Struthio camelus: one gene and its partner. The protein of the gene in region 1 interacts with the protein of each later gene in a pairwise test. Links are inferred from orthologs where the notes say so. Each region holds a gene or a part of one and is shown in the gene's direction. Other genes may lie near its edges.

The links.
Region 2: the proteins of SHTN1 (region 1) and FABP3 interact in binary tests that used the Homo sapiens proteins (3 or more experiments, as listed by UniProt). The two-hybrid records come from large-scale screens. The link is inferred for Struthio camelus from reciprocal best matches to the Homo sapiens genes SHTN1 and FABP3.

The regions. Positions count from the first base shown.
Region 1 is NC_090948.1:8,623,204-8,627,101, forward strand, and holds the start of SHTN1 (shootin-1), read left to right. Parts: upstream 1-1,231; 5' UTR 1,232-1,377; coding exon 1,378-1,435; intron 1,436-1,890; exon of another isoform or gene 1,891-2,133; intron 2,134-3,898. UniProt on the Homo sapiens protein: Involved in the generation of internal asymmetric signals required for neuronal polarization and neurite outgrowth.
Region 2 is NC_090964.1:4,623,951-4,627,848, forward strand, and holds the start of FABP3 (fatty acid-binding protein, heart), read left to right. Parts: upstream 1-1,772; 5' UTR 1,773-1,908; coding exon 1,909-1,981; intron 1,982-3,095; coding exon 3,096-3,268; intron 3,269-3,898. UniProt on the Homo sapiens protein: FABPs are thought to play a role in the intracellular transport of long-chain fatty acids and their acyl-CoA esters.

The DNA.
Region 1 (3,898 bases):
CTTTGCACGGGCCGCTCCACGCTGACCGTAGCAAGCCACCAGGGCAAAGCAAACCGGATGGGGAGCGCAGATGGTTTCTCTGACCGGTGGCTTGCGTTTTCCCTCCTACCCTGTAATTAATATCCAAACCTGTGCTCCGAGGCCCTGTCCCGGCTTCCCCTCGTCCCGGCTCCTCATGCCCTCTCCTGCGTTTCCCCCCACGAAGCGCCCACCCGAAGCGCCTGCCTCTCCGCGCCCGCGCTGCCCGCGGCTCCCCACCGGCCCCCCGCACCCCGCCGGGGGAGGCCCCGAGCCTCGGGCCGGCTGGCAGGGGTGCAAACGGGAGCCACAAAACCGGTCGCCAACCCCGTGCGTCCGTGGTGGTGGTGGTGGTGGTGGTGGAGGGGGGGGTGTTGTGTGTGTGTGTGTGCGCTGCCAGCTGCGCGGCAGCGGTGTGCCCGCCCGCCGGTGCTGGGCGGTCAGCGCGTGTCAGCCGGGGGGGGCCCGCCAGTCAGCCAGCCGGGGGGGGGCCGCCAGTCAGTCAGCCGGGGGGGGGCCCGCCAGTCAGCCAGCCGGGGGGGGGGCCCGCCAGTCAGCCAGCCGGGGGGGGGGCCCGCCAGTCAGCCAGCCGGGGGGGGGGGCCCGCCAGTCAGCCAGCCGGGGGGGGGCCGCCAGTCAGTCAGCCGGGGGGGGGGGGGCCCGCCAGTCAGCCAGCCGGGGGGGGCCCGCCAGTCAGCCAGCCGGGGGGGGGCCCACCAGTCAGCCAGCCGGGGGGGCCCGCCAGTCAGCCAGCCGGGGGGGGGGCCCGCCAGTCAGTCAGCCGGGGGGGGGGCCCGCCGGTCAGCCAGCCGGGGGGGGGCCCGCCAGTCAGCCAGCCAGGGGGGGGGGCCCGCCAGTCAGTCAGCCGGGGGGGGGGCCCGCCGGTCAGTCAGCCGGGGGGGGGGCCCGCCGGTCAGCCAGCCGGGGGGGGGCCCGCCAGTCAGCCAGCCGGGGGGGGGGGCCCGCCAGTCAGTCAGCCGGGGGGGGGGCCCGCCGGTCAGTCAGCCGGGGGGGGGGGCCGCCAGTCAGCCAGCCGGGGGGGGGCCCGCCAGTCAGCCAGCCGGGGGGGGGGGCCCGCCAGTCAGTCAGCCGGGGGGGGGGCCCGCCAGTCAGTCAGCCGGGGGGGGGGCCGCCAGTCAGCCAGCCGGGGGGGGCCCGCCAGGCGGAGGGCGCCGCCGTGCCCCGCACCCTCGCACATGCTCACTGGGGCGCCGCGGGAGTCTGGGCATGTGCAGAGCGGGCAGGGCCGCTCCCGCCCCCCCCGGGGCTCCGTGCGCCGCCGCCCGCCCGCCCGCTCCCAGGTGAAGCCGCGCTAGGTGGGGCGGAGCGGGGCAGCCGGTCGCCGGCGGCGGCGGCAGGATGAACAGCTCCGACGAGGAGAAGCAGCTGGAGCTCCTCACCAGCCTCAAGGACCAGGGTACGGCAGGCAGCGCCGGGCGGGCGCCGCCCTGTAGCTGCTGCTGCTGCTGCCGCCGCGGCGGCGGGGCCGGCGGGACCGCGGCGGGGCGGGGCGGCGTGAGGCGAGGGCTGCGCGGGCGGCGGAGAGCGGCGCGGGCGGGCGCGGCAGGGCCGCGGCGCTCGGCAGGGCCGCGGGCAGCGCGGGGGCCGCGGCTGCCGAGGCCCGGCCGCCTCCCGGTCCGGCCCCGCCGTCGGGTGTTGCCTCGTTTCCAGGTCCCTGTCTCTGTGCGGGCGGGGCAGGACCCCCCCCCCCCTTTTATTTTATTTTTTTTTGTTTAATTATTTAAAAAAAAAAAAAGGAGTTGAAACGTTTTGGCTCTTCCCCTTGTCGGTGCTCGTTCCTGGGCAGCTCCCCGCACCTGCTCTGCTTCTCTGCTGCTGCAGCTAGGTCGGCGCTGGCGTCGAGGTGACCGCGCGTGAATTTGGGCCGATGGGATGGCCGGGTGTTGCAGCGGGTGAGCTGTGAGCGCTGGTAGCCCAGGTGCCGCTCCCTCGAGCGCAGGCTAGCCTTTGCGCTGGGAAAAGGTGTGTGACTAACCCGTGGTGTTAATCCTGCTGTCAGTGAACGGGAGCGGATAGTGGTGAACCTGGATACCCGTCCTCTGTGCGCCTCTTAGGCACACGGTCTTGAGCAGAAACGCTGGCCAGCTCCGAGAGGTAAAAGTCCATCTGTCTAGTGGTCTTCCCGTGGAAGGCAAATTTTATATGAAGTTCCTTATTGTTTCTGAGCTAACTTCACCTCCGTTTTCCTATTGTGTGTTGTTAGATGTGATATCACCTACCCGTTAAATCCTCTCTATTCCGCTCCTTGTGGGTGTGCAGACTTCCCAGCAAGAGGTCAGGGTTAGCCCCGATATGCCATAGGCTTCTGCGGAGTCTGTGTAACTTCCAGTTAAATGAAATAAAGCATTTTGATTTGGTTCCGCTTCTGAGTCTGTATCTGGGGCTTTTGTAGAAAAGTCCAATGCTTCTACTTCATAGGTGTTCAGCTCCTTTAGAAAACTTAAAACAACGTAATGTTTCATGTTCTGCGAGAAGGGACTTGAGAAAGGGCTTGGATGTTCCAAAAGGTACCCTGCTTTTCTAACGCTACTGGTCAGGGTATTCCCAAGCCAGGCTGGTCTAACAAAGTTGCTACATTCATTCCTTGTCTAGTAAAGAGGTAGACGACATTCAAAGGGCCAGCATGTTACCAGCTATTTGAGTTGTAGGCACGTATCTGTAGATGTGTGCCAGCATACCTCCTGTCTCACAGCTTCATACGCGGTAGGCACGAAATACCGGCCCTGTGTGGCTGATGCTACAGCTCCCACAGCGGTGTGCCTGTGGTCCTTGTGGAACCTGGGAAGGGCTCTGTTTTGAAAGGGTGCAAACTTTTAATGGGGAGATCGAAATTACTGGCGTGTGGTGGTGGATCAATACCCCTTTTCTGTGGTTCATTCTGACTATAAACTCATTCAGTCGTCTTTGCTGTGCAGCAGGAGCTTTCCTTAACCAATAGTTGAATACTTATGATCGCCTGTCTTGGCACTTCTTTCTTCTTTGTTCCTGGCACATTCAGCAGTGTGATTTCGTGATTATCTGCTGCCCCTGCTAGATTCTGACTTTTAATGATTGCGGTCAGTGTAAAACTTACCATGATCGCATAGCTGTGTGCTTCGATAACGCAGGACCAAAAAATGAGGCTAAAAATCTAGTTTTGCTGATAGGCCTGACTACTTGCCACTGGTACTGTTGGCTCCAAAAGAGTGGTTTGTGCCAAAATGACAGTTGCTGAAGTGTCAACAAGCAGTTGCTAAAATGGAAAGTTTGGATTACTTTTCACAGAAATCCTAGCCTCCTTCAAACTGGTTGGAAGTTTTTTATTGTCTTCAGTAGGACTAAGGTTTCAGTTTTGATATCTGGAAGTCTTCTGTCCAAATAGTCATAGTATCCTTTAATGTCTAATGAAGTTTATGACACGCTAGGAATTAGTTCAAGGAAAAGATACTGTAACTCAAGTACCAGCTGTCCTAGATCCACTTAAGCTGTTGAAATAGAAACTGTAACAGGCAGATTGTGTCCTGTAAAGCTTTGTTCTTGATACGTTTTTGCCCTAAATGTAGACGTTTTTAGTATGCTGTTACGAGACCACCCAATGTTTTCATAATTTTATGGCCTGCTAGAAGGTTGATTTTTATGATGAAAAAATTATCGCGTGAAAAACTTTTGAAAATACTTACTCCTCTGTGTTCTGTTTTTGCATCTGAAATAATGCAGTATTATGGTAGGACACTATAGTTAAATTATGCTAACTGACAAGTCCCAAGTCCGTGAACTGTCCAGAATAAAAAGCCTAAGTGATGAAAAGGTAATGAGATGCTTAAAGTTATCCTAACAAGAATGATCTAAATATTGTTACGACAGTTAGGTAAGTTTACTT
Region 2 (3,898 bases), on another chromosome or scaffold:
CAGGGGGGTGCCGGGCGCGCGCCCCACTGCGGGGGTCTGGGGCGCTCACGGGGACTGCGGCATGTGGGAGGGCACGTCCGCGCCGGCCCCGCTCACAGCCACCCTGGCAGGGCCGAGGCCGTGCCTTCCGGAGGAGGCTGAACTTGAGCCGCCAGCTATTTTTGGGTGTCTGCAATGACAGCTCGGGGCCAGGGAGAGGGTGTCCCTTGGGTCTCTCCTGCACCTATTTCACCTTGAGCTGGATGCTCACAAGAGAAAGGCCCTGAGGTCCTGGGCAAGGGCTCCTGAGCACGACAGCCGTGCGCAAGGAGAACCGGCTGCTCAAGGGCCAAACTCCCATTAACTGAAATAGGGCAAGAGGCGCCTGACCCCCGTCTGTAGATGTGCCCCAGCCCCTTGGCCCAAAGGCAGCAGCAACCCGCGACGGGACCGGCCGCCCCCATCAGCGTGGCTCTGCCCCGTGCCCTTTCCGCCCCGCCTGCATCGCAATCCCGGGGCGGCAGGAGGAGGCTGACGGTGGGCGCGACGCGGGGGCCGGGCCAGAGCCGGGTGCCCAGTGGACCAGGGGCCGTTATATCCCACTGCCTCAGCTGTTTCCCGCGGGCGCCGAGCCCGCCGGGAACGGCCCCGCTGCAACAAGAGCCCGAAGCAGAGGAAAGGTTAGGGGCGGGCGGGCAGCTGACGGCGCGCACCAGCTGCTATTTTATCCAGTCCTCCCCCCTCCACCCCCCGGCCAGTGCTCAGCCCTCGCGGGCACGTGCTCCCGCAGCCCGGCAGGATGGGTGCTGGCCCCCGGCGGGCGGTTGGGCTGGGCGAGCTCAGGGACAGGCACTGGGGCCTGGCAGGGAATGACGGGGCCGCGCAGCCGGGGCACCCTGCCTGCCGGCGTCCCACCGTGCCCGGGGTGCTGCCACGGGGCTAAGTCCAGGCGGAGAGGCTTCGGTTGCCGGTGGAGCAGCCGTTCTGCCTAATCAGCTTCTTCTCGTCCTAAAGGTGTTAAAGAGTAACAGCCGAGAAGGGGCATCGCCGTCCTCACTGCCGCCATCTCCTCCCCGACCCCAAAGTGCGGGGAGGTGCGAGGAGGCTGGGACTGACCCCCCCAAAAGCTCTTGTCCCCTGAGCCCCAGGGTCCCCACGAGCCAAGCTCACAGGGAGGCACGTTGGAGGTCCCCTGTGCCAAAGGGCCTCCTGGCCCTGCCACCCCTCTGCTCTGCCACTTCCCCTGGTGCATACCAGGGATTTTTGTCGTCCAAATCGGCGTTGGCGAGAGATGCTGAGGAGCCGCGTGGGCTCCAGGGTACCAGGGGCAGAAGGAGGCAGCACACGCTGAGTGCACGTTTGGGCTGCGCTCAGCAAAGCCACGCTCACGCCGCCGCTCCGCCGCGGGCGCGGGCCGCCTGGCGCATCCCGCGGGCGCGAAGGCAAGCGGGGCAGAGGCGCTGGGAAAGGCAGAGGCGGAGGAAGGGGTTACGGGCGCTGGCGGACGCGCACCTCCCAGGGCAGGGCCGTACGGGCCGGCGCCACGGCAGCCCCTCGCGCCCCGACCGACCGTCGCACCAAGCGGCCCCAGCGCTGCGTGCCCCGCCGTCGCCACGCGCGTGTCCCCCGCAGGGTGGGATCGCGCGTGTCCTTGCACACGCACGCGCGCGCGCGGAGCAGAGCGGAGAGTCGCGCGGGCGCCGGCGCGGGTGGCACCGGCCCGCGGGGCAGGGCGCGGCAGCCAGCGGGGCCGGGGCCGGGGCCGGGGCCGGGGCCGGGGCCGGGGCCGGGGCCGGGGCCGGCAGCGCCCGCCGGAGCCGCCCGCCGCAATCATGTGACGGCGCCGCTATTTAAGGCGGCTGCGGAGCCGGCAGCAGCCCTGTGGCTCGGCGGCGCCGTCCCCGCCTCGCAAGCCCGCTCGCCTTCACCATGGTCGAAGCCTTCGTCGGCACCTGGAAGCTGGTGGACTCGGCTAATTTCGATGAGTACATGAAGGCGCTGGGTGAGCGCGGGCGGCGGCGGCGGCGGGGGGAGCCGGGGGCGGCGGCCGCCCCTGCGCCGGGCGCGCTGAAGCCGTGAGATCGCTCCGCTCTCTTTCTCTTTCTTTCTTCATTTCCCCCCCCTTTGTATTTCACCTCCCGAGTAGCCAGGACCGCACAAAGGGCTTTTAGCGCTGCGGCGCCTGCAAGTGAGGAGGAGGATGGCTGTCTGCCTTTTTAATGGGTGTAAAGAAGGGGGGGGGGAATGCTGTTTTGACAGGGCTGGGTTTGCGGCGGGCAGGGGCGATGCGGGGGAGCCGGGGCTTGCGGCGAGCCGGGCGCTGGCGCTCCGCATGGGTGTGCGGTGTCCCCGCGGCCCCGCCCGGCGCCCCGCGGTGCTGCGGCCGGGAAACGGGGCTCGGCTTTTGCCAGGGGGCAACACGGGTGGGGACAGGGTGGGAGGGAATCTCGGCCATCTCTGGTGATGAGGATGATCCTCGCTGCCGGGCACTTGTTTGAAGCCGGGTGAGGTCCCTGGTCCTGGGAAAGCAGGCGAGGGGCAGGAGATGGCTGCCTTGCCCGGGAAGGAGTGTGCCCACTGCCTGGCTCCCTGCCCTCGGGAGGGACATGCATCTCCAGCTCTTCCCAGAAGCCAGTGGGTGGGGACAGCCTTCCCCCCCCCCCCCCCATTTCAGGGCCAAGGATGATAGGGTGGAGGGAGAGGACTGCAGAGCTGCTCACTGCAGAGTGAGTGAATGCAGTGCCTCTGCTCTCCTCCATCCTTCATCCCTCCTTCTCACCCCACATCATCCAGCCTGGTCCCTGGCACCGGCTGTGGCTCCTTCTGAGTGGCCCCAGGGTACTACAGAGGCCAGGGGACACTACCTGTCTTGGATCCTGCTCAGCCCCAAAAGCTGGTCTGTGGCTGGAGAATGGTGTTTCTGGGTGCAGGATCTGGCCCTGAGTGATCCCAGCTGCACATCCAGCTGCCCTCCAGCCCCCACGGCAGCCAGCAAGACACGGGGAGGCTGCAGGGAGGAAGGAAGGTCTGGGGGCTGCTGAAGGGCAGGGACGATGATGGGGATGCACCCTCTCTAGCCCCTCCGCGTGGCCTCACCGCTCCCTTGCACCCTGCAGGTGTGGGCTTTGCCACGAGGCAGGTGGCGGGCCTCACCAAACCCACCACCATCATCGAAGTGAGCGGCGACAAGATCACCCTGAAGACCCAGAGCACCTTCAAAAACACAGAGATCAGCTTCAAGCTGGGCGAGGAGTTTGATGAGACCACTGCTGATGACAGGCACGTCAAGGTGAGCCCAGCCATGGGGCCAGGAGCCCAGCAGAGACCCAGGGGGCAGCTGGGGTGCTGAACATTGGTGCTTGGAGAAGCTCTCTGGGGTCCCTCAGAGAGCATCTGCCCTCTGCCAAACCCTTTTATCAGGCCATGGCCACATTCCTGCAGTTCAAGGCTTGAATCCTTGAGTTCTGGGTCTGTCTCCTTCTCTCCATCCTCTTCTGTTAAAAATCTCCTTGCCCTCAGGGCCTGCTGCTCTGCCCTAGCCTCTCTTGGCAAATCACCCCTTCCCCCATGCCGATTTGCAGCCAGGCTTTGCAGAAAAGCTGTTACGAGGCATTGGAGTTACTGTAACAGCCCCGGGGCTCTACCAGCCCGGGAAGTTGGGCCGCCCGGGCACAGAGCTGCTGGGTAGGTTGTGCAAGAGCGAAAACATGCAACCGCCCACTGCCTGGCCCACGACGGACTTGCTCAAGAGAAACAGGGGATGTGGTGGAGCGAAGGTGAACTTTGTGCCATTTTTAATGGTTTCCAAGGCATCCTTGCAGGGATGCAAGAATTGCTTTTGAGCCTGGTGCTTGTCCTAGAAACACATTTTGGGCCCCTTTGGCTGGGCAGAGCTGTCCTCTCTGTACATGGTGAGCGA